6 linked regions of the Ovis aries genome follow. The protein of the gene in region 6 purifies or fractionates together with the protein of the main gene of each other region. This does not show direct contact. Links are inferred from orthologs where the notes say so. Each region holds a gene or a part of one and is shown on either strand. Other genes may lie near its edges. The genes, in order: DCAF13, NOP58, RRP9, C1QBP, TGS1 and FBL.

Evidence for each region.
Region 1: the proteins of FBL (region 6) and DCAF13 purify together in Homo sapiens (affinity purification with western blotting; 3 studies listed by BioGRID, with this or other methods). This does not show direct contact. The link is inferred for Ovis aries from reciprocal best matches to the Homo sapiens genes FBL and DCAF13.
Region 2: the proteins of FBL (region 6) and NOP58 purify together in Homo sapiens (affinity purification with mass spectrometry; 7 studies listed by BioGRID and IntAct, counting the BioPlex papers as one, with this or other methods). This does not show direct contact. The link is inferred for Ovis aries from reciprocal best matches to the Homo sapiens genes FBL and NOP58.
Region 3: the proteins of FBL (region 6) and RRP9 purify together in Homo sapiens (affinity purification with mass spectrometry; 3 studies listed by BioGRID and IntAct, counting the BioPlex papers as one, with this or other methods). This does not show direct contact. The link is inferred for Ovis aries from reciprocal best matches to the Homo sapiens genes FBL and RRP9.
Region 4: the proteins of FBL (region 6) and C1QBP purify together in Homo sapiens (affinity purification with mass spectrometry; 4 studies listed by BioGRID and IntAct, counting the BioPlex papers as one, with this or other methods). This does not show direct contact. The link is inferred for Ovis aries from reciprocal best matches to the Homo sapiens genes FBL and C1QBP.
Region 5: the proteins of FBL (region 6) and TGS1 purify together in Homo sapiens (affinity purification with mass spectrometry; 3 studies listed by BioGRID and IntAct, counting the BioPlex papers as one, with this or other methods). This does not show direct contact. The link is inferred for Ovis aries from reciprocal best matches to the Homo sapiens genes FBL and TGS1.

Annotation. Positions count from the first base shown.
Region 1 is NC_056062.1:73,986,257-73,990,467, forward strand, and holds the start of DCAF13 (DDB1- and CUL4-associated factor 13), read right to left. Parts: upstream 2,801-4,211; 5' UTR 2,715-2,800; coding exon 2,645-2,714; intron 99-2,644; coding exon 1-98. Other genes in the region: SLC25A32 (mitochondrial folate transporter/carrier), read left to right, coding at 3,244-3,400. UniProt on the Homo sapiens protein: Part of the small subunit (SSU) processome, first precursor of the small eukaryotic ribosomal subunit.
Region 2 is NC_056055.1:204,595,089-204,598,526, reverse strand, and holds the end of NOP58 (nucleolar protein 58), read right to left. Parts: intron 3,406-3,438; coding exon 3,272-3,405; intron 1,369-3,271; coding exon 1,202-1,368; intron 805-1,201; coding exon 754-804; 3' UTR 501-753; downstream 1-500. UniProt on the Homo sapiens protein: Required for the biogenesis of box C/D snoRNAs such as U3, U8 and U14 snoRNAs. Part of the small subunit (SSU) processome, first precursor of the small eukaryotic ribosomal subunit.
Region 3 is NC_056072.1:49,062,282-49,066,456, reverse strand, and holds the start of RRP9 (U3 small nucleolar RNA-interacting protein 2), read right to left. Parts: upstream 2,801-4,175; 5' UTR 2,780-2,800; coding exon 2,684-2,779; intron 2,428-2,683; coding exon 2,345-2,427; intron 1-2,344. UniProt on the Homo sapiens protein: Component of a nucleolar small nuclear ribonucleoprotein particle (snoRNP) thought to participate in the processing and modification of pre-ribosomal RNA (pre-rRNA).
Region 4 is NC_056064.1:25,997,931-26,002,194, forward strand, and holds the start of C1QBP (complement component 1 Q subcomponent-binding protein, mitochondrial), read left to right. Parts: upstream 1-1,464; 5' UTR 1,465-1,565; coding exon 1,566-1,788; intron 1,789-2,403; coding exon 2,404-2,554; intron 2,555-4,264.
Region 5 is NC_056062.1:36,074,217-36,077,716, reverse strand, and holds part of TGS1 (trimethylguanosine synthase), read right to left. Parts: coding exon 3,400-3,500; intron 1,535-3,399; coding exon 1,318-1,534; intron 1-1,317. UniProt on the Homo sapiens protein: Catalyzes the 2 serial methylation steps for the conversion of the 7-monomethylguanosine (m(7)G) caps of snRNAs and snoRNAs to a 2,2,7-trimethylguanosine (m(2,2,7)G) cap structure.
Region 6 is NC_056067.1:48,796,475-48,799,974, forward strand, and holds part of FBL (rRNA 2'-O-methyltransferase fibrillarin), read right to left. Parts: intron 3,078-3,500; coding exon 2,907-3,077; intron 1-2,906.

The sequences.
Region 1 (4,211 bases), on a different chromosome or scaffold from region 6:
TTTTGCAAATACCCGTTCCAGTTTGGTAGCATTTAAAGCTCTTATATATTCTCGTGGGACCTCAAAAGGATGTAAGGTAGGATCATAGTTTCTTGGAACTGAAATAAGAATGATTCCTCTTAATAAAATAATTCACATTTAATACCTCCTGTGGTATTCCTTGGCTAATCATTCAATATATTATTCAATAAGCCTTTATTAGGGACACTGACTATGCTGAGGACTAAAACTAAAAACACTGAAGACCTTTTGTCCAGAACCTTTCCAAAATGACCAGAAAGTGATAGAACACATACATCTTGCAAAATAACTAGACTCTATACATACACACACACACAACTTTTCCTTTTCTATGTCCTACTACGCTCTTCAACTGGGTTATAAGCCTTCATCTGCAGGGCTTCTGCTACATTCTTCATTACATCTCTTATACCCAGCACAAAACAAGTGCATCATAAACGTTTGCTCAACTGACCTCTTAAGCTCCTTACTGGGTGTGTGTATGCATGCTAAGTTGCTTAAGTCGTGTCTGACTCTGTGCAACCCATTGAACATAGCCCACCAGGCTCCTCTGTCCATGGGAATCCCTAGGCAGGGGATCCTCCTGATTCAGGGATCGAACCCATATATCCTGCATCTCCTGCACTGGCAGATGGGTTCTTCATCACTAACGCCATCTGGGAAGCCCCCTTACTGGGCAGGGAACACTAATAATCTCCAGTGCTGATCACTGTACAATGTTGTGATATGATGATTATACTATTTATTGAGCACTTTCAATGTTTGATTTTGTGTGTGCATGTTAGTCGCTCAGTTGGGTCCAACTCTTTGCGACCCCATGGACTGCAGCCTGTCAGGCTCCTCTGCTCATGGAATTCTCCAGGCAAGAATGCTGGAGTGGGTTGCCATTCCCTTCTCCAGGGGACCTTCCTGGAGGAACTGAACATGGGTCTCCCACACTGCGGGCAGATTCTTTCCCAGGTTCAGATGGGAAGCCCATCTGAACCCTACACATCCTTTAAAAAAAATTCAGCTTAAATCTTGTATCTTCTATAAATTTTTCCAAATACCCATAATTATGCCCACCTCTAAATTCAATTCAGTCAACAAGAAACACTCAACAAAGATATACGGAACACCTCCCATATACCATAAGCACTCAGGACATCAGAGCAAACAAACTCACCGTACATATTTATGTATGTTGTTCTTATACATTTGTATGTTATCAGCTATGTTACCAACAGAGTTTTAAAAATACAGATTCCCTGATGCCCACATCCCGGATCTATGAGTCAGAATACTCAAATAAGTATTTGAATACTGCACAAAATTTACAAAGACCACTTAAACAAAAAAAATCTATGACCAACCAGTTACCCATTCCTTCATTCAGACATTAATAACGCAACTACTAGGTGCCAGGTGCTCTCTAAACACAGGGGACATAGAAACAAACACAACTGGGCCACTCTCTGCAAGCTCGATCTGATTAAAGAAAAAGACTGATAGTCACAAAAATAATGAGACAATGTAATAAGCACTCTAATATTAATATAAAAATATGAAACAGAAGCATAGGAGGGTGCCTACATGCGTACAGGATGGGGGGAAATCTGCAGGGGACAGAAACTGGATAGAGGTGTGTGCCATCGCATGCCTGAAAGAGAATGCCTGAAAGGCACACAGACTAACGAGAGTACATATACACTAGCTGTAGAAAAAGTAGTCACCCATGAAAGGAGAGAGGAAGATGGGACCAAGTTTAAGGAGTAGGGATGATGTCAAGTCTGAGTCACATAATCTACTTTGCATTTTAAGAACACTGCTGTTTTGATACTTAACCTGTAAACATCTTGTGAGCAGAGACCATTTAGTTAGCATTGCTCACGATATATACGGATAAGCTGTATGACTCAATCATATGGAAATATTGTTCCAGCCTCCCCTTCTATGGCTCACCCCTACCTCAAACTGCGAAGACATGGCCCTTTTCTTATGCCATAAGTTTATTCCTGCCTTAAGGCCTTTGCACCTGTTACTCACTTCACACATGGTTGGTCACTTAGCTATAATTCATTAAGTAGTCAGCAGGTTAATGAGGGAACAGACCAGTACAGACAAAACCCATTAATTTCATTTTAGTCATTCCCCCACTAAAATTCCCCACAAGAGTTTTTAAGAGAAAACTGACGGCGTTAAGTGTCACCTTTGTCTGTTCCCACATCCCGAAATACGTAACTTTAGCAAAGTTGTCGAAAGTTAGAGTAACAAGGAGAGGTTTAAAGAAGTTTGTTTAATTGTTAATTCCTTCACAATCCACGAGTTTGGCTCATTCAAGTCCACGTTCCCCTCAACGGGACCCTGAGAACAATCAGAGAGCAGCAGCTGAAAGCGGTGTAGACGGAATCATTTCCCCATATAACTAACTGTCACTGACCACTAGACAAAAGTTATGAGGAAAGGGATTTGAAGACAAGTGTTCTGCTACCCAGAACCAGAAGCGCTTTATAAACCAAGAGCCCTAGCGAAAGAAAACAGGTAAACAACGAGAGTGAAACACGTCTCCCCTCCCCAACCAGCTTTACTCGGTGGAGCCGAGGCTGGATCCAAGGCTGGCGGACTCCCAACTAACTTGTCTCACCTCGGTGTAAGTCCAATTTGGTTTCGCGGACATAGTGGTCGGGGTTCCGACTCAGCATCTTCACCTTCATCTTGCTGCCAGTTCACCGGGATCTCACGACCCTCTCCCTCCCAGCCCCAGTTACCGCCGCCGCAGACGCCGTCTCCACCAACACATGCCACTTCCGCTTTTTCCCGACTACTTCCTGTCATGTGACTTCCGCGGAGCGGAAACCGGCTTCAGGTGGGCTCTGCGGCGCTCCGTACTCGCGCGGACAAAGGTTGGCCGGGGGCGGTGCTTCATCTGTGTTCGCAGATCCACGCAGTTCAGCCTAAACCCAGCCGCGGAGGTGGGCGAGGCGGGGCGGGGCCTTGGCGGAGGCGCCCCGCCCCGCTGCCCACTCTCCCTCGGCCGCTTGAGTTGCGGCCGCGCCGCTCTAGTCAGTCACTCGTGCGCCTAGGTCTCTCGGCTTCACCCTCGCCTCCGCGAGTGTGACTCCACGCGCGGGTGCCGGAAGTGGGCTCGTGCCCTGCGGTTTCTGCTCCAGCGCGGCGACCGTCGCCACGGTGGCGGCCACTGCATCTCGTCCCACGCCCGCGGTATCAGCGGACCCTGAGCCCATGACAGGCCAGGGCCAGTCGGCGTCCGGCTGGTCGGCGTGGAGCAGCACAATATTCCGCCACGTCCACTACGAGAATCTGGTGGCGGGCGTGACCGGCGGGGTCCTTTCCAACCTCGCGCTGCACCCGCTTGACCTCGTGAAGATCCGCTTCGCCGGTAAGAGACCAGTCAGACCCTGGGCTTCTCCTTGCTGTCACCCCGAACCGAGTGATAAAGACGCAGAGGGACGGCTTCGTCCTCACCTGCCTCTTGCGTACTGCAGGCGAGGCGAGAGCTTAAGAAGAATGCTTTTTGCCCGGGCTCCCGTGGGACCAGATTTGAGGAAAGGGAGTCTGGTTTAAGTGGTCTGGCTGCCGGCGTCCCCTTTTCCCCGATACTGAGGAATGAGCAGAATGGATGTCAAAGTCTGAGAAAGGTCCTCATTGGTATAGAACGTGGAACTCAAAAGCCTGCTTTATAAAATAAGAAAGGGTTGATCACATTTCAGGGCTTAAACCTCACACGTGCAAATTGTTCTCCCTTGGAGATACAAGTACCCGCCACCCCCCACCCCAACCCCCAGCTTTTCGAAAGTTCTGTTCACACCACCTGGCTTTTAGGAAAGGCTTTCATTAGTAAGCCTTTTTCCGCTCACCCCCAAATCGCAAAGAATCGAAGAGGATTTTCGCCATTACAAAAAGAAGGCGAAAATCGAGAATAGAAAGTTCAGCGTTTGTTTTGCACCAAGCCTTTGAGAGGCAGCGTGCACCACCAGCTCCTTTCCCGGAAACTACATTCAACATCTCAGCGTCAATCAGTCATAGCTTTGAACTGTTTCTGTGAGCATCTGTGCTTTATCTGGATTTATTTCGTGCATCCTTTAGCAAAGTGCGTGTTAAGGTAATTGCTTCTTCACGTTATGCACTTTTGGCCTATATTAAAGCTTTCATGCTTTACTTTAGCATCGCCAGGAAACCTGTACTTGGAA
Region 2 (3,438 bases), on a different chromosome or scaffold from region 6:
CACTCCTACTGACATTTTATTTTTTCTCCTCTTGTTTTTCCTTTATACACCCCCATTCTTCACTTATTTTGTATTATCTTTTTAAAACACCACTTTAGATTACTTTAAAAACAAATCAGGGTCTAGATTAATAATGATTTTCTTCCACATTCTAGAAATGCAAATTAAGTTAGGGACAGTTTTTTTCTTCCTAAAGAGACAGAAACAAAGTTTGTTCACCTAATTTTAAAGCTTCGAACACAATAGACAGCTTTACTTAAATAACAAAAACAGAAAGGTAGGAGAAAAACAGAAGACAGTCCAAAAAGGCAAGAGAAACACATTAAGTGGGATTCTTAAACTGGTCCATCTAATTATTGTCTTCCGAAAGGCTAAATTTCAAATTAATGGTTCACAGCTCTCACTTTTCAGGTATAATTATCAAAATACTAATTATCAATGCTACATAACATAAGGAGCCCCAAATTCTCGACCTAAAGTAGAGAAATCACAGAACTGCCTTAAAATACAAAGAAAATATTTTTATTTGTATAACAAATATCCTAAGAAATGATGACATAATAAAATTAACATAGTTAAAGTATGTCAAGACACAAATAGGTATGAAATGCTATTAATGATTAATCTTTCTTTCTCACCAAACCTCCCATCAATTATTTTACAGAGTATCTTGCGTACATTTCTGACTGAATCGTAAGCATGATGTATCCAGGTGATTCAATTATGAACTCTTTGAAAGAATGGTTCCTTCCATTAGTCCTCATTAACTTTCTTTTTTTTCTTTTTCTTCTTTTTCTCTGGACTCTGAAAATAATCAACAAGAATGCTTTTGAAAGAGCTGGAAATGTACAAGTGACTAAAAATAACTTTTCTTTATAAAAAGCAGTCTATTTTATTTCTCTTGAAAACAAGATTGGAAGAAAGACTAAAATCTAAAGATCACCTTTGTGACTTGTAGCAAATGATACTCTCTTCCATTTCAGACCAAACCCATTTTGTAGTAAGATTCTAGGTTTGGGAAGCGGCTTTTTGTAACATGGGAGTTCCAAACAGTGAGTTTTCTAATTGTTTCTCTTAAATGAAACCATTTTAAAAAATGGTTTTTAAAAAACTACCTGTTAATTTCTAACATACAGAGTAGAATAAAATATGGAATCTCTGCCCATGTCAACAAAATATTAATAATTAAAAACAAACATACAGCAACTGCTGTGCTGGTGCATGGCTCTTCTTCAGAAAGTGGTTCTTCCTTAACGTGTTTCTTTTTGTCCTTTTTCTTCTTCTTCTTCACAGATGTTTCCTGTTCTTCTACAACTTGTACTACTTCTTCTTCTGTGTCTTCTGCATCTTCTACTACTTCTTCTTCAACTGAACAAGTGTAAAAATACTACAATTAACATTGTATCAGGCTTCTCTCCCTTCAACCCCCTTTGAGTCTTTTTTCCCAACATTCTGGTCAACTCTCCAATGTTTGTTACATGTAATTTAATAGCTGTAAAGGTCCTTCAAATATTTACCTAGTATAATAGTACTAACAATAAATGATAGTAAGCAATTTAATACCTCTGTAAACCCAACCTCTTCATTCTTTTAAAATTTAGTAACGTCTATCTCTTTTGACTATTTTTAGGGTTTGCTGATTTAACACATGAAAATTTATGCAAAATGGTTAGCATAAATGCTTAGCACACTAAAATAAGGACTCAATAATGGGTAGCTATCATTAGAAATTCATTGACCAAACACTTATTTAGTACCTACTATATGCTAGGGCTTGTTCTAGACAACTGGAGATACAGCAAGGAATAGCACAGATAAAAATTCTTGCCCTTACAAACCCTTTATTTTACTAGGAAACAGACCAAAAACCAGAAAAAAAGTACACCATAAAATATTTTACATAGTAAACAGTCCAAAGGATAAAAGCAAACAAAGAAAGGAGCACAAATGAAGGCAATTCCTGTGGACATTTTATACAGGGTAGTTAGGCAAACACCTAAAAAAGAAAAGGAAGTGAACAATTCATCTATATTGAGGGAAAATATCTCACATCAAGAGAAGAGCAAATACTAAGATTATTTCAGGAAAGAAGGGAAGTTGGCAGGTTCATGGAGTAGCAAGGCGGCTAATGCGGCTGGAGCAGTGACCAATGGAATAGAATTAGATGAGAAGGCAATGGGAGTGCCCTTGCAGCTGCTACACTAAGAACGGCAGTGATTGGTATGATAAATGGTTAGGTGCTAGAAATACTTTCCACGTAGAATTAAGAGGATGTGCTACCAGAATGATAAGACAAGTCAATGTTAAAGGCCAAAGCAACTAGGATTCCCATTTATAAGATGGAGAATATCATGTAGAAATGGACTGGGAGTGGCAAAGATCCAGGAAGGTTAAGTTTGAAAAGCTTAATGAATATTACAAGTCAAGATTCAAATCTACTAATGGGTTTACAGTTCTTTTTGTTCAACAGGGAAAATGAAACACAGGGGTTAAATAACTTGCTTATGTTTTCTTCACCCAGGGCAGAATCCACATTTGCTGATAGTGCTTTTTGACCTCTAAGCTATTTAGAAACAAAGTTAAATGGTAATTTCTTTAATGCTAATCACTCAACACAAGTACAGCTAACAAATGGAGGAATTTACTTATCAACTTAAGAGAGCCTAGTTCACTGGGGAGCACCTGTTAACGATCACTCTGATGGTAGCTACCGGGTCATTACTCTAGTTCTTTTCATGTAACAGAAATAATGAAGCACTGCTGCATCACTTCTATGCTCAACCAAAATATTTCAGCTACTAACTTAGAAACCACATACCTTGTTTTCTTCTCTTTTAAGCTGATTCTCAAAATAGTTCACGTTAGAAATTAAAGTTTTGATACACTTAATATAACCCTATATATTCAAAGAGATGCTTTTCCCCTTTCTCTTATGAAATATGATAAATTTAACAATATTCTAACTCCCTAGAGAAGATGGTTATTAATAGAATTAGCTTTCAATATGGTGGTTTCATAATAAAGTTCTATTGTATGCACTTTCCCCATTTTTCTTAATATATTTTTAATTGAAGGATAATTGCTTTACAATACTGGTTTGATTTCTGCCACACATCAACATGAATTAGCCATTAAGTGTACATATACCTCCTCCCACCTCCTGCCCCTCTAGGTTGTTACAGAGCCCCAGTTTGAGTTCCCTGAGTCATACAGAACTCCATACTTCTTATCCAACAGGAATATAAATGACATTAACAAAATTCAAACTAACCCTTAATTTTAACCTTGGCCTTTTTGGCCTTCTTTTCAGTAACTTCATCCTCTTTGTCTACTTCTTCAATCTTGCGTTTTTTAGAATAGGTTGGTAGTGTAGAGTCACCAGAAGGATCGTAAGTCTTCACTTCACTGAAAGAGCCACAGAATCTTAGAAAATCTTTA
Region 3 (4,175 bases), on a different chromosome or scaffold from region 6:
CTCGACTCTTTGCAACCTCACGGACTGTAGCCCACCAGGCTCCTCTGTTCACAGCATTCTCCGTGAATACTGAGAGTGGGCTGCCATTCCCTTCTCCAGGGGAGCTTTCTGACCCAGGGATAGAACCTGGGTCTCCTGCATTACAGGCTGATTCTTTACTTCCTGAGCCAGGCATGGGAGACAGGAAACAGAAGATCCAACATGGAAAGTGGAAAAGATAGATCTAAAAACAACCACCACCCCCAGACACAAGGGAGCCGCCAACCCAGATCTGACATGAGGAACCAAGAGGCAGCCGTATTGGGACTGTCACCACCCCATCCTCACTGCCGAAGCCCCATCCTCTACCCTGAGGATGGGATTCCAGGTGAAGCTTAACTGGGTCTGGCTGGACCTTGTGAAGATCTTGATTTCCCCTCCACACCTCTCACTGAAGATGAGTCCTACGCTGACTTGCTCCTGGGAGCTGGAGGTAGGTCATGGGAACTCAGAAGCAGAAAGCCCAGGGCCGCCTGTTCCCTCTGATCACGTGCCTGCAGATACCTAGTCCCTGTCAGGTACCCCAACTGTTTCCAAGACTCATCCATGACCTTACCCACAGCTTCCCCGGAAGGGACATTGGAAATTCTCAAGGAAGCCAAGGCCTCATGCTCTTCAGACCAGTTAGTACCCAGCACCAAGCAAATCTTCAGCTGACAGACTTGCTGCCCTTCCCTCATATAACCAAGGACTACACTTCTACTCAGTTTACTCAAACGAATAAATTTTTGTTTAGTGCTCACACATAGGAGACAGAACTCTAAAGAAAATCAAGAGAAGCATACACCATTATAATTCCATCCATATAACATTCTGGAAAAGGCAAAATTCTAGGGATAGCAGTTACCAGGGGAGAGAGAGAGAGGAACTGACTACACAGGAGCCAGGGGGAATTTTGGAGGGTGGTAAAACCCTTCTGTATCTTCATAGTGGTGGCAGTTTATATGAGTCTGTTACAACTCACAGAAAGGTACACTAAGAAACAAATATCACTGTATGTAAATTACACCTGAATCAGAAAAGGAAAAAAAAAAAGAGATAAAAAGGAAGGAAGGAAACCAAAGAAAATTATTAACTCAGGAATGGCAGCTGGGTCTTCCATGTTTCTGTACAGGTCTAGTTCTGGTGGGTGCACAGAGGTCCATCATTTCATCATTACTGTCTATGGCACAATTACATTTCATTAACTCTTCTGTAGCTAATACATTCCACAACACATTTGAAAAATATTTAAAAAGTGTTTCACACAGGGCCTGGCACACACCCGCAGTAACCTCAGGACTACAAAAAGAACATAAAGTCCTTCTGCAAGCAGGTTAAGACCAACACGTACTCAATATTTAGAGGCAGAATTTCTAAAGCCAACTTTAAAAAAATAACAATTTGACATTTGTATTTATTTATTTGTTGGCTCTGCTAGGTCTTTGTTGCTGTGCCCGGGCTTTTTCTACTTGTGGCAAGCGGGCACTATTCTCTAGCTGTGGTGCATGGTTGCCCTGTGGCATGTGTAATCTTCCCAGACCAGGGATTGAACCCATATTGGCAGGTGGATTCTTAGCCACTGGACCGCCAGAAAAGTCCTCTAAAGCCAACTGTGAAGGAAGGCACCAGGATTTCCTGGTGTGACAGCTTCCATTCCACAAGGTCAGGCTTGACACCTTGCTAGCCCCCTCTGAACTCCGCAGTATGTCCCACCCCCATCACCTGCGGAATGAAGGAGGTACACAAAGCCCTTCACAATCTGGATGCACGCACCACCTGCCCTTCCACCCTCTCCATCTTCCATCTGGCCCGTTTAACCCCTAGACTTTTCTCTGATCCCTGAATGCCTTCCCTACCTCTCCATAAGGAAGCGCTCCTGATCTCTCCAAGCCCTATTTAAACTCCCGTTCTCTGTTCCCACAACACACAGCTCTAAGATACGCCTCCCATCACAACACACTCTGTCTTCACCTGCCTGCTTGTCTCTGTTCTCAAAACAATGAAACTAGTGCCTGACACTCTCCGTAACTGAAATTGTGAAGAACTAACGAGCATTTCTTGCATCCTCCCCTTGCCTGGAGTTCAGCTCCCTGTCACGAGCCAGGAAGGGTCAGCAGGCCTCCCATTGGGACTGGGGGTCCTCCCCACACAGAGACCCTGCAGAGAAGGAAATGACAGTTCTCAGGGTCAGAAAGTGGAGGAAAGAGTTAAGACCTGAGATCCTGGGTTCTGGCCCAGTTCTAGCACCCCTTCAACTGAGGATTCCTTCCATACACCACGGGTTCCAGGGTTCCTTTCCACTAGGTGGAAAAAAAGAGCTCACCTCTCACTCTCTGAGTCGCTCGAGATCTCCTCATTCATCTTTCCGCCACCCTTGGACTTGACCTTGTCCCCAGAGGAGTCGCCCTGGGAATTACATAATACGTTTTTGGTCAGGGGTCCCGACCACTCGGGCTCTGACCAACAGTCCCTTAGGGTCCCTCGAGAGCCACTGGGAAAGGCAGTGGCCCCTGGCTCAAGTGAAAGGCTTTTCAGGATTTGACGCACGGAGAAAGGGACGAAGCTGACTCCAACCCGGGTCCCGGGGGCGAGACCCCCGGATGGGATTAGGGTGGTCCCAATAGGAGGGATAGATCCCCGCCTGCCAAAGCGCCATGCTTACCTTTCGTCGCCGCTTGCCGGCCCCCGCACCAGCCCCGGCCCCTGAGGCCGGCTTTCCCCTCTTACGAGCCGCCCCTGTCGCCAACATGCTGTCCATGGTGCGTGTTGCCGCAGCACTGGAGAACTCACGTGGCGGCTAAACCCTGGCAGTCCCACCAGACTCCCCGCTGTGATAGGCTCCCACCGCCCTATAGGTCCCGCCTCCCACAGCTCTATTGGGTCCTTGGATAGGTTCTGCCTCGCCCCCAAGCTCCCATAGGGTAAATGCCTGTGGCCCCGCCTCCCAAAGCTCCTATAGGCTCCCGCGCCCTGGCTCAGACGGTAAAGGAAGCAAGCCTCTTCCCGGCGCTTCCGGCCAATGACTGTGGCGCATGCGCCCCGCCGCTGACTGACGTCGGAAGAGGGGTCGGACTCCGACGCCTTCTCTGTGTTTGCGCCCCTTGGACGCTGGGGGGCGTCAGAGATGCAGGGTTCCTTTCCCTGGACCGTGACTCCTCCCCGTCAGGGGCGGGGACCAGGGTGAGAGTCTGACTCCCTAGTAACCCGGGGAGAGGGAGCCAGGCAGTCCCTGGGAGAGGAAGGCAATGCCTGCACCTGCGGCCAAGGTCACTTGACAAACCGGTGGACACGTATTGCATGCCTCAGGCGAGATGTGCACCGCTAAGGGTGCGTCAGTCCCCTGGGCCTTAGCTGTGTCCAGATCAAGTGTCCACCCATCCATGGGACAGGCTGCCCCGGCTCGACCTGCCCAGCCTCTGACTCATCAGGCTGGTGACCAAATAACGGGAAACCTATCCACACCCAGTTCATCCCGGCTCCCCTAAGGCTTACAGAGGGTTGTTAGAACTGACTGCCTGGGAGGTAGACCCGGTGGCCACCACGTCTCCCAGGTCCGTGCTTCTCTTAGGTGAGTGCCCTATGGCCCTGCCCACAGCCCTCCACAGGGCAAGGCAGGGCAGGGTGGGTGTGACTGGCTTTTACCCTCTGGCAGTTCAGTGTCACTGGTCTAGAACCTGGACTGGCATCCCAGAAGTCTTGAGTCTGATGGGAAGAGTTTCTGTGCTACTGGCTCTCAAGCTCTGGAGAGATAGAGCTGGCCTCAGGAGTGCTGCCCCCGGGAGCCGCTGCCCTCTCTCCTCCATAGCTGGGGTGACTCAGCCCAGCAACCATGCCAGGTCCAAGTCAGCTGAGAGAGGGGAGGAACAGAGAGTGCTCTGTGAGGAGGAGCCCAGAAGTGGGAGGGGGGAGATTTTCCTTTCACTTTCCCTTCCACCTCAGTACACACAGGAGAGCTAGGGAGGGTGGAGAGCCCCTCTTCCTTAACCAAACTGGGAAAGTTGTTCAGAGGCCGGGCCTGGCCCCAGTGACTAGAGAAAGGGGCCTGTCCGGGGTGCAGAGATCTGGGCCTGATGAGCTATGGAATGAGGTTCGTGACATCGTACAGAGCACAGAGATCAAGACCGTCCCCATGGAAAAGAAATGCAAAAAAGCCA
Region 4 (4,264 bases), on a different chromosome or scaffold from region 6:
TCTTTTCCAATGAAAAGAACTCTGCATCAAGTGGCCAGAGTATTGGAGTTTCAGCTTCAGCATCAGTCCTTCCAATGAATATTCAGGACTGATTTCCTTTAGGATGGACTGGTTTGATCTTGCAGTCCAAAGGACTCTCAAGAGTCTTCTCCAACACCACAGTTTAAAAGCATCAATTCTTCGGCACTCACCTTTCTTTATAGTCCAACTCTCACATCCATACATGACTACTGGAAAAACCATAGCTTTGACTAGATGGACCTTTGTAGGCAAAGCAATGTCTCTGTTTTTTAACATGCTATCTAGATTGGTCATAGTTTTTCTTCCAAGAAGCAAACGTCTTTTAATTTCATGGCTGCAGTCACCATCTGCAGTGATTTTGGAGCCCAAGAAGATAAAGTCTCACTGTTTCCATTGTTTCCCCATCTATTTGCCATGAAGTGATGGGACCAGATGCCATGATCTTTGTTTTCTGAATGTTGAGTTTTAAGGCAAATTTTTCACTCTCCTTTCCACTTTCATCAAGAGGCTCTTTAGTTCTTCACCTTCTGCCATAAGGGTGGTGTCATCTGCATATCTGAGGTTATTGATATTTCTCCTGGCAATCTTGATTCCAGCTTGTGCTTCATCCAGCCCGCATTTCGCACGATGTACTCTGCATAGAAGTTAAATAAGCAGGGTGACAATATACAGCCTTGACTTACTCCTTTCCCAATTTGGAACAAGTCTGTTGTTCCATGTCCAGGTCTAACTGTTGCTTCTTGACCTGCATACAGATTTCTCAGAGACAGGTAAGGTGGTCTGGTATTCCCATCTCTCAGAATTTTCCACAGTTTGTTGTGATCCACATAGTCAAAGGCTTTGGTGTAGTCAATAAAGCAAAAGTAGATGTTTTTCTGGAACTCTCTTGCTTTTTCCATGATCCAGCGGATGTTGGCAATTTGATCTCTGGTTCCTCTGCCTTTTCTAAATCCAGCTTGAACATCTGGAAGTTCATAGTTCACATACTGTTGAAGCCTGGCTTGGAGAATTTTGAGCATTCCTTTGCTAGCGTGTGAGGTGAGTGCAGTTGTGCAGTAGTTTGAACATTCTTTGGGACTGGAATGAAAACAGCTTTTCCAGTCCGGTGGCCACTGCTGAGTTTTCCAAATTTGCTAGCATATTGAGTGCAGCACTTTCATAGCATCATCTTTCAGGATTTGAAATTCCATCCCCTCCACTAGCTTTGTTCGTAGTGATGCTTCCTAAGGCCCACTTGATTTCCCATTTCAGGATTCCTAAACTTCTTTAGTTCCTGAAGATTCCTGTTGCTGCAGAACTAAAGTTTAGGAATCAGATTCCAAGCCTCCCTGGGAGGCTACACCGGAGGCCACCAGCAGAGGGCAGGGTCCTGCCCACTGTGCCTTCTGGTCTGCAAGGCGGCGGCGCGGAAGCACTTCCCGGCTGTGGGGCGGGACTTCCGGCGGCGGTCCCAGATCTAGGGGGCGCAGCGGCAAGGAGTTGTCCTTCTAAGCGAGAGTTGTATTTCGAATCTGCACGTGTTCGCCACCGCCTCCGCTGCCAAAATGTTCCAGCTGCTGCGCTGCGTGCCCCGCGTCCTGGGTTCTGCCGTCGCTGGTCTCCGCGCCGCCGCACCCTCCCTGCCGCTTCTGCAGCCCGCGTCCCGGCCATGCGCCCGGCCCTTCGGGCTGCTGAGCGTGCGCGCGGGGTCGGTTCAGCTGCCCGGCCTCCTGAAGCCTCGGGGGCCCTGCGCTTGCGGCTGCGGCTGTAGCGGACTGCACACCGAAGGTGAGACTCATGCACGTGGGCCGGGGGCGTGAGGGGCGTGGGCCTAGGTGGGGCGGGGTGTTAGGGGCTGGGAGGTGTAGACCACCTGAATGGACAGTCCGGAGCCGCTCCTGAGGTCCGGAACATTCTCCCAGTGATGGTCGACCTGCTAGTTAAACCCACGCGTAGTAACATTTCCCGTCCTCCCCCACCCCTGTTTGACTGCGGGGATAGATACTGTAAAGTCCTGGAGGCCGGCTTTACCTCAGTCTCTCGAAAATGGAACTTTGCGAAAGCCCAAGGTCGCGGTTAGAAGTAGCGTGATGTTTCTTGGCAAGTGAAAGGGTAGTGGCGATTTTTTTTTTTTTTTTTTTTGCTTTATTTTGAAACGTCGTGAGAAGTTCATTATTCGGGATCACTTTCCTAGAATCCATGCTCAGCTTCCCACTGATAGCTTACATTTTTACAGATGAAGGAATTGAGGTTTAATGGATATGAGTTGGGCTAAGTCCACAGAGCCACCATTAATAGAAGTATTAGGAAAAAACAGGCTAAGTCCTGGTCTTTGCTTGTAGTAACGGGGTCATTTTCCATTTTAGACTAATTGGCTCTTTCTGTAACTTATTTCCATTGTAGGAGACAAAGCTTTCGTTGACTTCCTCAGCGATGAGATCAAGGAGGAAAAGAAGATACAGAAATATAAGTCTCTCCCCAAAATGTCAGGAGGTTGGGAATTGGAAGTGAATGGGACGGAAGCCAAATTAGTGCGGAAAGTTGCTGGAGAAAAGTAAGTACCAGGGGCCTATGGAGCCCAGGGGACCACATCCATAAACCTGCAGGACCTGCTGTGAGGTATCCACAACAACTTTTAGTTAAGACAGGTGCTTAACTGACTCCTGGTTTCCCAGAGATGGTATGATTCGTTTGGATAACTTCTTAGGCTCCTTTTTGCTTATTCACTGCACAGTAATGTGCTGTGGTGGTTAACAAGGAGACAGTAAGCTAGTAGCGGGGTTCCCCAGTGGCTTGGCGTCCAGAACCCACCTGCCAAAGGAGGAGGTGTGAGTCTGAAATGGCAACCCACTCCAGTATTCTTGACTGGAAAATCCAATGGACAGAGGAGCCTGGCAGGGAGTCCATGGGGTTGCAGAGTCAGACACGACTGAGTGCCTGAACATCACCCCAGTAGCACTGAAGCCAAGCCACTGGGAGTCTTCTGGACCAGTAGAGGCAGCAGTCACTGAGCCCTTCCTGGTGAGTGAGGCTGTGCCTTGCCCACAACTAGGCATGCAAATTCAGAGATTCCGGCACTGCCCACAGAATCGGATTTACTCTGCTGGGTCTACTACCCTCAGGCTCTGGCTGAGGAAAATAAAGCCCCTGTTCTGTTTACAGTTGAGAAAGCAAGATAATTAACAGGGTGGGGTTGCAGTATAGTTTTTCATTAGAAAAGAGGGATGCTTTTGGCCTGCTTAAGCTGTTTTAAATCCACGGTCCACTTTGAAGTTTTGCATGCGCTGTGAAGCAGCAGGCTGGTGCTTTTGCCTAGTATTGTAGTGCTTTCCCCGTCATAGATCAATTGTGTGGTCTGTAACGTGACCCAAACCACTCTCCTAGGCGAAGTTATAGGCAGTTTGGGACCATTATAATGTGCTGCTGAACATAGCTGCATTTCTCTGTCCAGGGGTCAGTTTGGTCCACACTGTCACAGCTTAGACAGATTTTGTGCCTGTACATCAAACTTCTGTCTGTCAAGGTGCCAGTTACCATGGCTTCAGAGGGCAGCGTTGTCTGCAACCTAGCAGTGCTCGTTCCAAGTGTCACTCAATTTTCAGTTCAAATTTTGGAATATGATATGTCAGGTGAAGATTCTTGCAAGTTAAAATTGTCATTAGGTGGTGTTTGTGGCCTGCCTTGTCATTTATTAAACTTCCTACATCTGCTCTGAAGAATAAAACTGTCCAGCAGCATATTCTTTTTTTTTTTTTGCCACACTGCTTGTGGGAATCTTAGTTCCCTGACCGGGGATCAAACCCAGGCCATGGCAGTGAACACACCAAGTCCTAACCCCTGGCCCACCAGAGAACTCCTCTATGTGGTGTCCTTTGTGAGGCCTCCCCTTCCTGGGGCCAGGGCTACTCTCCATCCTCAGCTGATGCCACAACCCTCCGGTGCTCCTTCTCTTCCTCTCAGGCAGATTTTCTTCTAATGGAGGAAGATTTTTAAAGGAGGCTCCTGGGACTTAGTGGTGGTCCAGTGGTTAAACCTCTCCTCTCCCAGTGCAGGGGACCTGGGTTCAATCCCCGATCAGGGAACTAAAATACCACACATAGCAACAAAGGTCACATGCACCTCGCAACCAAGACCCAGCCCAGCCAAGTACATTTTATTTTCTTAAAGGAGGCTTTTGGAACTTTGTGGTGGTCAAAGTGTCTGCTCCCAGCGCAGAGGACCTGGGTTCAATCCCTGGTCAGGGAACTAAGATCTCGCATGTAGC
Region 5 (3,500 bases), on a different chromosome or scaffold from region 6:
AACTGGAGTGGGTTGCTATTCCCTTCTCCAGGGGTTCTCCCAGACCCAGGGATTGAACTGGGGTCTTCTGCATTACAGACAGATTCTTTACCACTGAGCCACCTGAGAAGCCCAACAGTACTTCTAACGGGACCTAAAAGAGAGCAAAGGTCTGTCTTGTCAAAGCTATGGTTTTCCCAGTAGTCATATATAGATGTGAGAGTTGGACTGTAAAGAAAGTTGAGAGCCGAAGAATTGATGCTTTTGAACAGTGGTGTTGGAGAAGACTCGAGAGTCCCTTGGACTGCAAAGAGATCCAACCAGTCCATCCTAAAGGAAATCAGTCCTGAATAGTCATTGGAAGGACTGACAATGAAGCTGAAACTCCAATACTTTGATAACCTGATGTGAAGAGCTGACTCGTTGGAAAAGACCCTGATGCTGGGAAAGATTAAAGGCAGGAGGAAAAGGGGACAACAGAGGATGAGATGGTTGGATGGCATCACCAACTCAATGGAGACGAGTTTGAGTAAACTCTGGCAGTTGGTGATGGATAGGGATGCCTGGCGTGCTGCAGTCCATGGGGTCACAAAGGGTCAGACACGACTGAGTGACTGAACTGACTGAACTGTCTCCAACAGGTCAGGGATTAGAAGTTTAATCTATGTATTGGATTATCCTAGGGTAGGAAACCAAGAGCTAGAAATACACACTCTTTCTTTCTGCTATTTCCTAGTTTTTGTGAAAACAGGATGAATGGGAAAGCACAATAACCACATCTTTCTAGTAAAGAATAAAGACAAGTAACTCTGTCCACCCTATTTTTTCTAAATTTTAATTAGTGATTTAAAACAATTCCTGTTAAGAGCCATAAATGACTCCTCTGGGGAACTGAGATAAAAGGAAAAATAACACATGCTAGTCTTCCTGAAATAAGGGGTTTGCTCCAGTAACCTGGAGGAATAACAGGCAGAACTTGGAGACGCAGACAACTTAGGTCAGTGTGAGCTGAAGTCAGGGGACAATCACCCAGAGTCCAGGGACAGGTCCTGAGGAAATCCCTGATTTCCAGACAGTAATTCCAAACAATTAATGCCCTTTAGTTCTTGTTTTCTAATGGGACAACTGGAGAGTAACCAATGGAAATATAACCTCATATTTGCTGTAATTTTTGGAGATCAATCACCAGTTAATTTTTATGGAAAACAAACTGGAATCTTTCAAATGCTATTAGCTAACATCTCTCCTGTTCACTAATTTCACACACACACACACACACACACACGTTTCCTCTCCACAACCACCATTTGAGTGAACTCTAGGACTTTCAAAGGATATCCGTCAGGAGACATCATGGTGCTGATGTCGAAGATCTCAGCAGTGGCGTAGTCCGGTCCTCCCCAAGGTGGGCTGAGAAACACGATGTCAGCCTTTAGACTAGATGCCAATTGCAGGAAATCTCCACAGATGAACTCGATCTTGTCCACTACGCCATAAATTTCTGCATTATTGCGAGCAAGATCGATCTTAACAGGATCAATATCAATGGCAATCACTAAAAATAGGAACAAGAAAGAGGAGTTCAATGATACTGATTGTCAGTTATATGGACGAGTCCATCTTCTGAGCAGTCTTTATTTTCTGTGCGTTTAAGTCCCTTTTAAAAAGAGTTTTTAAAGGGAGATTTGGCCACATTAATGAGAGAATTTAATTTAAAAATTTCACCTAACCTAGGAAGATTCACTTGTGCTATATCAAGAAAATGAGACCAAGGATGTGGCCTGCAGAGCTGTCTCACTTAGGCCGCTGGGCCAACGCAAGCAGAGAGGTGGTTACCCATTATCCCAAGCCTGGTCTGTGGTCAGAGCTGGACGGTAGACACAGGAAGGTGATGGCTGCACAGACAGTTTAGAAATGCTAAGACTTTAGATAAGACCAGTTTCCTCAAGATGAGGCAATGTCCAAAAGTAGACAGATTTGACAATGTCTACAGTAAGGCAAATAAAACACTTTTTGACAAACCTATGTAGCCAACTTATGAAGAAGACATGCAAAAACACCTGCTGATGATGTTTAATGAGACGTTTTAGGCAGAGGGAACAGAGGTCATGTTTTTACTGCAGGGGCTCTCACTTAATTTACTTCAATTTCACAATTAGCAACACAAATGTAAGTTAATTCCAACTCACTCACGTCTTAGAGTAAATTACTCATGTGCACCTGTGTGTGCAACAGGATGTTAGTGGCAATATTTTACGTCTGCAAGGGCAGAGTGCAATCCTGATGCATACACCATGGTTGACAAGGAAGCAGCTGTATTACAGAAAATGTTGGTTTCAAGGTTTGTTAATACTTTAGGGAAATAATGCACTAAGTAAATCACTGGAGCAATGAATACAGGCACCAACCCTATGTTGCAAAATCATGCATCCACAACACTATTCTTCTGATAACATTCATATTTATAAAAGGGACAAGGTCCTTTTTAGCTGCTTAATCTGCTGAAATTGATAGCACAGAGACAGATGCAGAAATACACTGTCAACAGCAAAAATTCAACAGAAAAAAGTGACTTTCAACACCAACTGTATTTGGCTAATGGCCCTGTTTTCATCTGTGCTCTCCTGGAAGACATTTTTGTTTTCAGGCCTAACAGAGTGTGAACAACTCAATCTGGCAGGTGAATGAAGTGCTGATAGGTGCTGGAGGATACTGCGGGGAACTGCAATGTCCAGGAATGGCGGCCACTGGCTACCTTGTCCAGTCTCGTAAAGCCTCCCCCCAACCCATCCCGGGAAACAGCACACGTATTATCTACTTGACACAGTTGCTGGCAGATATATAGTAACAGGTCTTCTTTTCTGGGATTCTGAAGTCAACCAACCATGAAGACAGTCTAATATTTAAAAGGGTCTTAGTGTCTTAGGATGTCAAAGCTGAAAGGTATCACAGGGTTCTCTCAATTTAATGTCTCCTTTCCATTAAGATTAAAGGAAGTCCAAAATCATACAGTGGGTGAGGGCAAAGCTGGACCCCACTGCACCATCTACGCTTCTCTTCTTCCAGAGAACAGTCTCTCCCATTTTAACAGTTTTACTTTTATATCATGTTATAATCTTGCTGTTGCTGAGCTGGGTCTGTATGATCGTGGGCAAATCATTGCATGTTTTATTTCTCAGTTTATTTGTTAAACACAGAAAGTATAAAAGATACATATCACAAGACTGTTGACTAAATACAGTGATACATATTAAACACAACAGTACACAAAGTGTAGTCTTAATATATGCTATTATTGTTAAATATTTGGCATTAAATTATCAATGATTATATCTCAGTAAAGATAGGGCTGAAGGAAAATGAAGCATCTGATGAATAAACTGAAATTAATTAATGAGTAAACCACTGATGACCAATTACCTCTCTTCCCTGTTAGAGCAAACTGAATGGTATTCCCTCCAACTCCGCAGAAGGCGTCCACAACGGTGCCACTCTCCAAGGACTGGCTGACTCTGCCCGCG
Region 6 (3,500 bases):
CAAAGTATTGGAGTTTCAGCCTCAGCATCAGTCCTTCCAATGAACACTCAGGACTGATCTCCTTTATAATGGACTGGTTGGATGTCCTTGCAGTCCAAGGGACTCTCAAGAGTCTTTTCCAACGCCACAGTTCAAAACCATCAATTCTTCAGCACTCAGCTTTCTTCACAGTCCAACTCTCACATCCATACATGACCACAGGAAAAACCACCCCTGACTAGATGAACCTTTGTTGGCAAAGTAATGTCTCTGCTTTTTAATATGCTGTCTAGGTTGGTCATAACTTTCCTTCCAAGGAGTGAGCATCTTTTAATTTCATGGCTGCAATCACCATCTGCAGTGATTTTGAAGCCCCAAAATACAAAGTCTGACACTGTTTCCACTGTTTCCCCATCTATTTGCCATGAAGTGATGGGACCAGATGCCATGATCTTCGTTTTCTGAATGTTGAGCTTTAAGGCAACTTTTTCACTCTCCTCTTCACTTTCATCAAGAGAATCTTTAGTTCCTCTTCACTTTCTGCCATAAGGGTGGTGTCATCTGCATATCTGCTGCTGCTGCTAAGTTGCTTCAGTCGTGTTCGACTCTGTGCAACCCCAGAGACAGCAGCCCACCAGGCTCCACCGTCCCTGGGATTCTCCAGGCAAGAACGCTGGAGTGGGTTGCCATTTCCCCCTCCAATGCATGAAAGTGAAAAGTGAAAGTGAAGTCGCTCAGTCGGGTCTGACTCTCTGCGACCCCATGGACTGCAGCCTACCAGGCTCCTCTGTCCATAGGATTTTCCAGGCAAGAGTACCGGAGGGAGGTGCCATTGCCTTCTCCCTGCATATCTGAGGTGATTGATATTTCTCCCGGCAATCTTGATTCCAGCTTGTGCTTCTTCCAGCCTAGAGTTTCTCATGATGTACTCTGCATAGAAGTTAAATAAGCAGGGTGACAATATACAGCCTTGACGTACTCCTTTTCCTATTTGGAACCAGTCTGTTGTTCCATGTCCAGTTCTAACTGTTGCTTCCTGACCTGCATATAGGTTTCTCAAGAGGCAGGTCAGGTGGTCTGTATTCCCATCTCTCTCAGAATTTTCCAGTTTATTGTGATCCACACAAAGGCTTTGGCACAGTCAATAAAGCAGAAGTAAATGTTTTTCTGGAACTCTCTTGCTTTTTCGATGATCCAGCGGATGTTGGCAATTTGATCTCTGGTTCCTCTGCCTTTTCTAAAACCAGCTTGAACATCTGGAAGTTCACAGTTCACGTATTGCAGAAGCCTGGCTTGGAGAATTTTGAGCATTACTTTACTAGTGTGTGAGATGAGTGCAATTGTGCGGTAGTTTGAGCATTCTTTGACATTGCCTTTCTTTGGGACTGGATGAAATCTGACCTTTTCCAGTCCTGAGGCCTCTGCTGAGTTTTCCAAATTTGCTGACATATTGAGTGCAGCACTTTGGCAGCATCATCTTTCAGGATTTGAAATAGCTCAACTGGACCTCCATCACCTCCACTAGCTTTGTCCGTAGTGATGCTTTCTAAGGCCCACTTGACTTCACATTCCAGGATGTCTGGCTCTAGGTGAGTGATCACACCGTGGTGATTATCTGGGTCATTAAGATCTTTCTTGTATAGTTATTCTTGCCACCTCTTCTTCATATCTTCTGCTTCTGTTAGGTCCATACCATTTCTGTCCTTTATTGAGCCCATCTTTGCATGAAATGTTCCATTGGGGATCTCAATTTTCTTGAAGCCACATGCAGCTCTTCAAATCCCCAAATCAAAACATTACCATTTAATGACCGGTTATCATGATGTGTGTGTGCATGTTAAGTCACTTCAGTCCTGTCTGATTCTTTGTGACCCCACTGACTGTAGCCTGCCAGGCTCCTCTGTCCATGGGATTCTCTAGGCAAGAATACTGGAGTGGGTTGCCATGCCCTTCTGGAGGATCTTTCCAACCCAGGGATTGAACCCAAGTCTCCTGTATCTCCTGCATTGGCAGGTGGGTTCTTTACAACTAGAGGCACCTGGGAAGCCCTTGTTATCATTTTACAGGTGAATATACTAGGTCCAAGGGTTATTCCATCCTACTTTGTCTGATCTGAGAGCCCAGGCCCCCAGTTTAGGCTTAAAATGAGGAAGCTAGGGCATAGAGATGAGATGACGTAACAGCTAAGAATACCTGCACCTGGCCAGACACTGCTCTAGGCATGTTACAGGATTTAATTCACTTATCATCACAATCACCCATTTTCTAGAGGGTTACACTGAGGTTCAGAGGGAGTAAGTACTTGCTCAAAGCCACTTCACTGTTAAGAGCCCGCACCAGAGTCTGGGGTTTTTAACCATTAAATTACACACCCTCTAGCCTCACAGCCAAGTGAGGGATCATGAAGTGAGATGTGTGGGTGCCCTCTCAACAGGGAGGCTGTCCAGCTGCACAGAAGCATAGGCCCCCAAACTGACAATCTCCTGTTTAGGGAAACCAGAAGCCCAGATTTGAGGGCTATCTTTTTTTTGGCTGCACCACATGGCATGTAGGATCTTAGTTCCATAACCAGGGATGGAACCACACCCTCTGCAGTGGAAGCGTGCAGTCTTAACCACTGGACCGCCAGCAAAGTCCCAGAGGGGAGCAATCAAATCCAGTGTATTCTCAGCTCTGGGCCCCCCAACACTGGTTGCCCCGACACCCAAGCCCCTTCGTTCTAGGCCAAGAACTCAGGTGTGAGGCTGAATGGAGCTCTGGAGACCATGTGGTTCAAGCCGCTGCTTCACGCACAGGCACTGTGATCAGGAAGGCCCTGGCTCCGAGCCCCTCGGTGCAGGGAAGCAGCCAGGGCCTCTGAATCCAGGCTGGCAGAGAAGGGGACCTTTCCCTCCCTCCCACCTCCTCCTGTCCCTCTGTCTACTCACCGGGCCAACGATATCAGAGACGTGGGAGACGGTGGTGCCCGAGGCAGCCCCGAGGTAGAGGACCTTGGCCCCTGGCTTGATGTGGATCTGGTCCACCCCGCCCAGGATTGCCGCTGCCAGCTTGGAACGGAAGGGGTTCCAGGCACGGTACTCAATTTTGTCATCTCCCTCCTGCACCGAGAGAGATGGGGATGGAAGTCAGTGCCAGGCTCTTCTGCAAGACCCCAAGGCTCTTAACTCTAGGGCCCTCAAAAGGGACTGGGCCCCCAGTCATTGTACAAGAAACAAATGAGTATATCCATCTATGACCACAACAGGCAGGGCCTGTGCTCTCGTGGGGGTTCCTGACTCAGGGAGAAGGGGCAGCGATGGGGACAATAAAGACAAGATCACCCCAGACAACAGTAAGGCAAGACCTCTGTGTTCGTTCTACGAACACTGCCTGTGCCGGCCCCTAAGCTCAGGCACTGGGCAAACACACCGAAGGGGACAAAGGCCTTGCTCTCCAGGAGTGAGGACATGCTGAATGGACACACACGGCATAGGAGCCAGTGACAGGTGCTCAGAAGAAGGTCAAGCCAGGAAGGGGCGTGT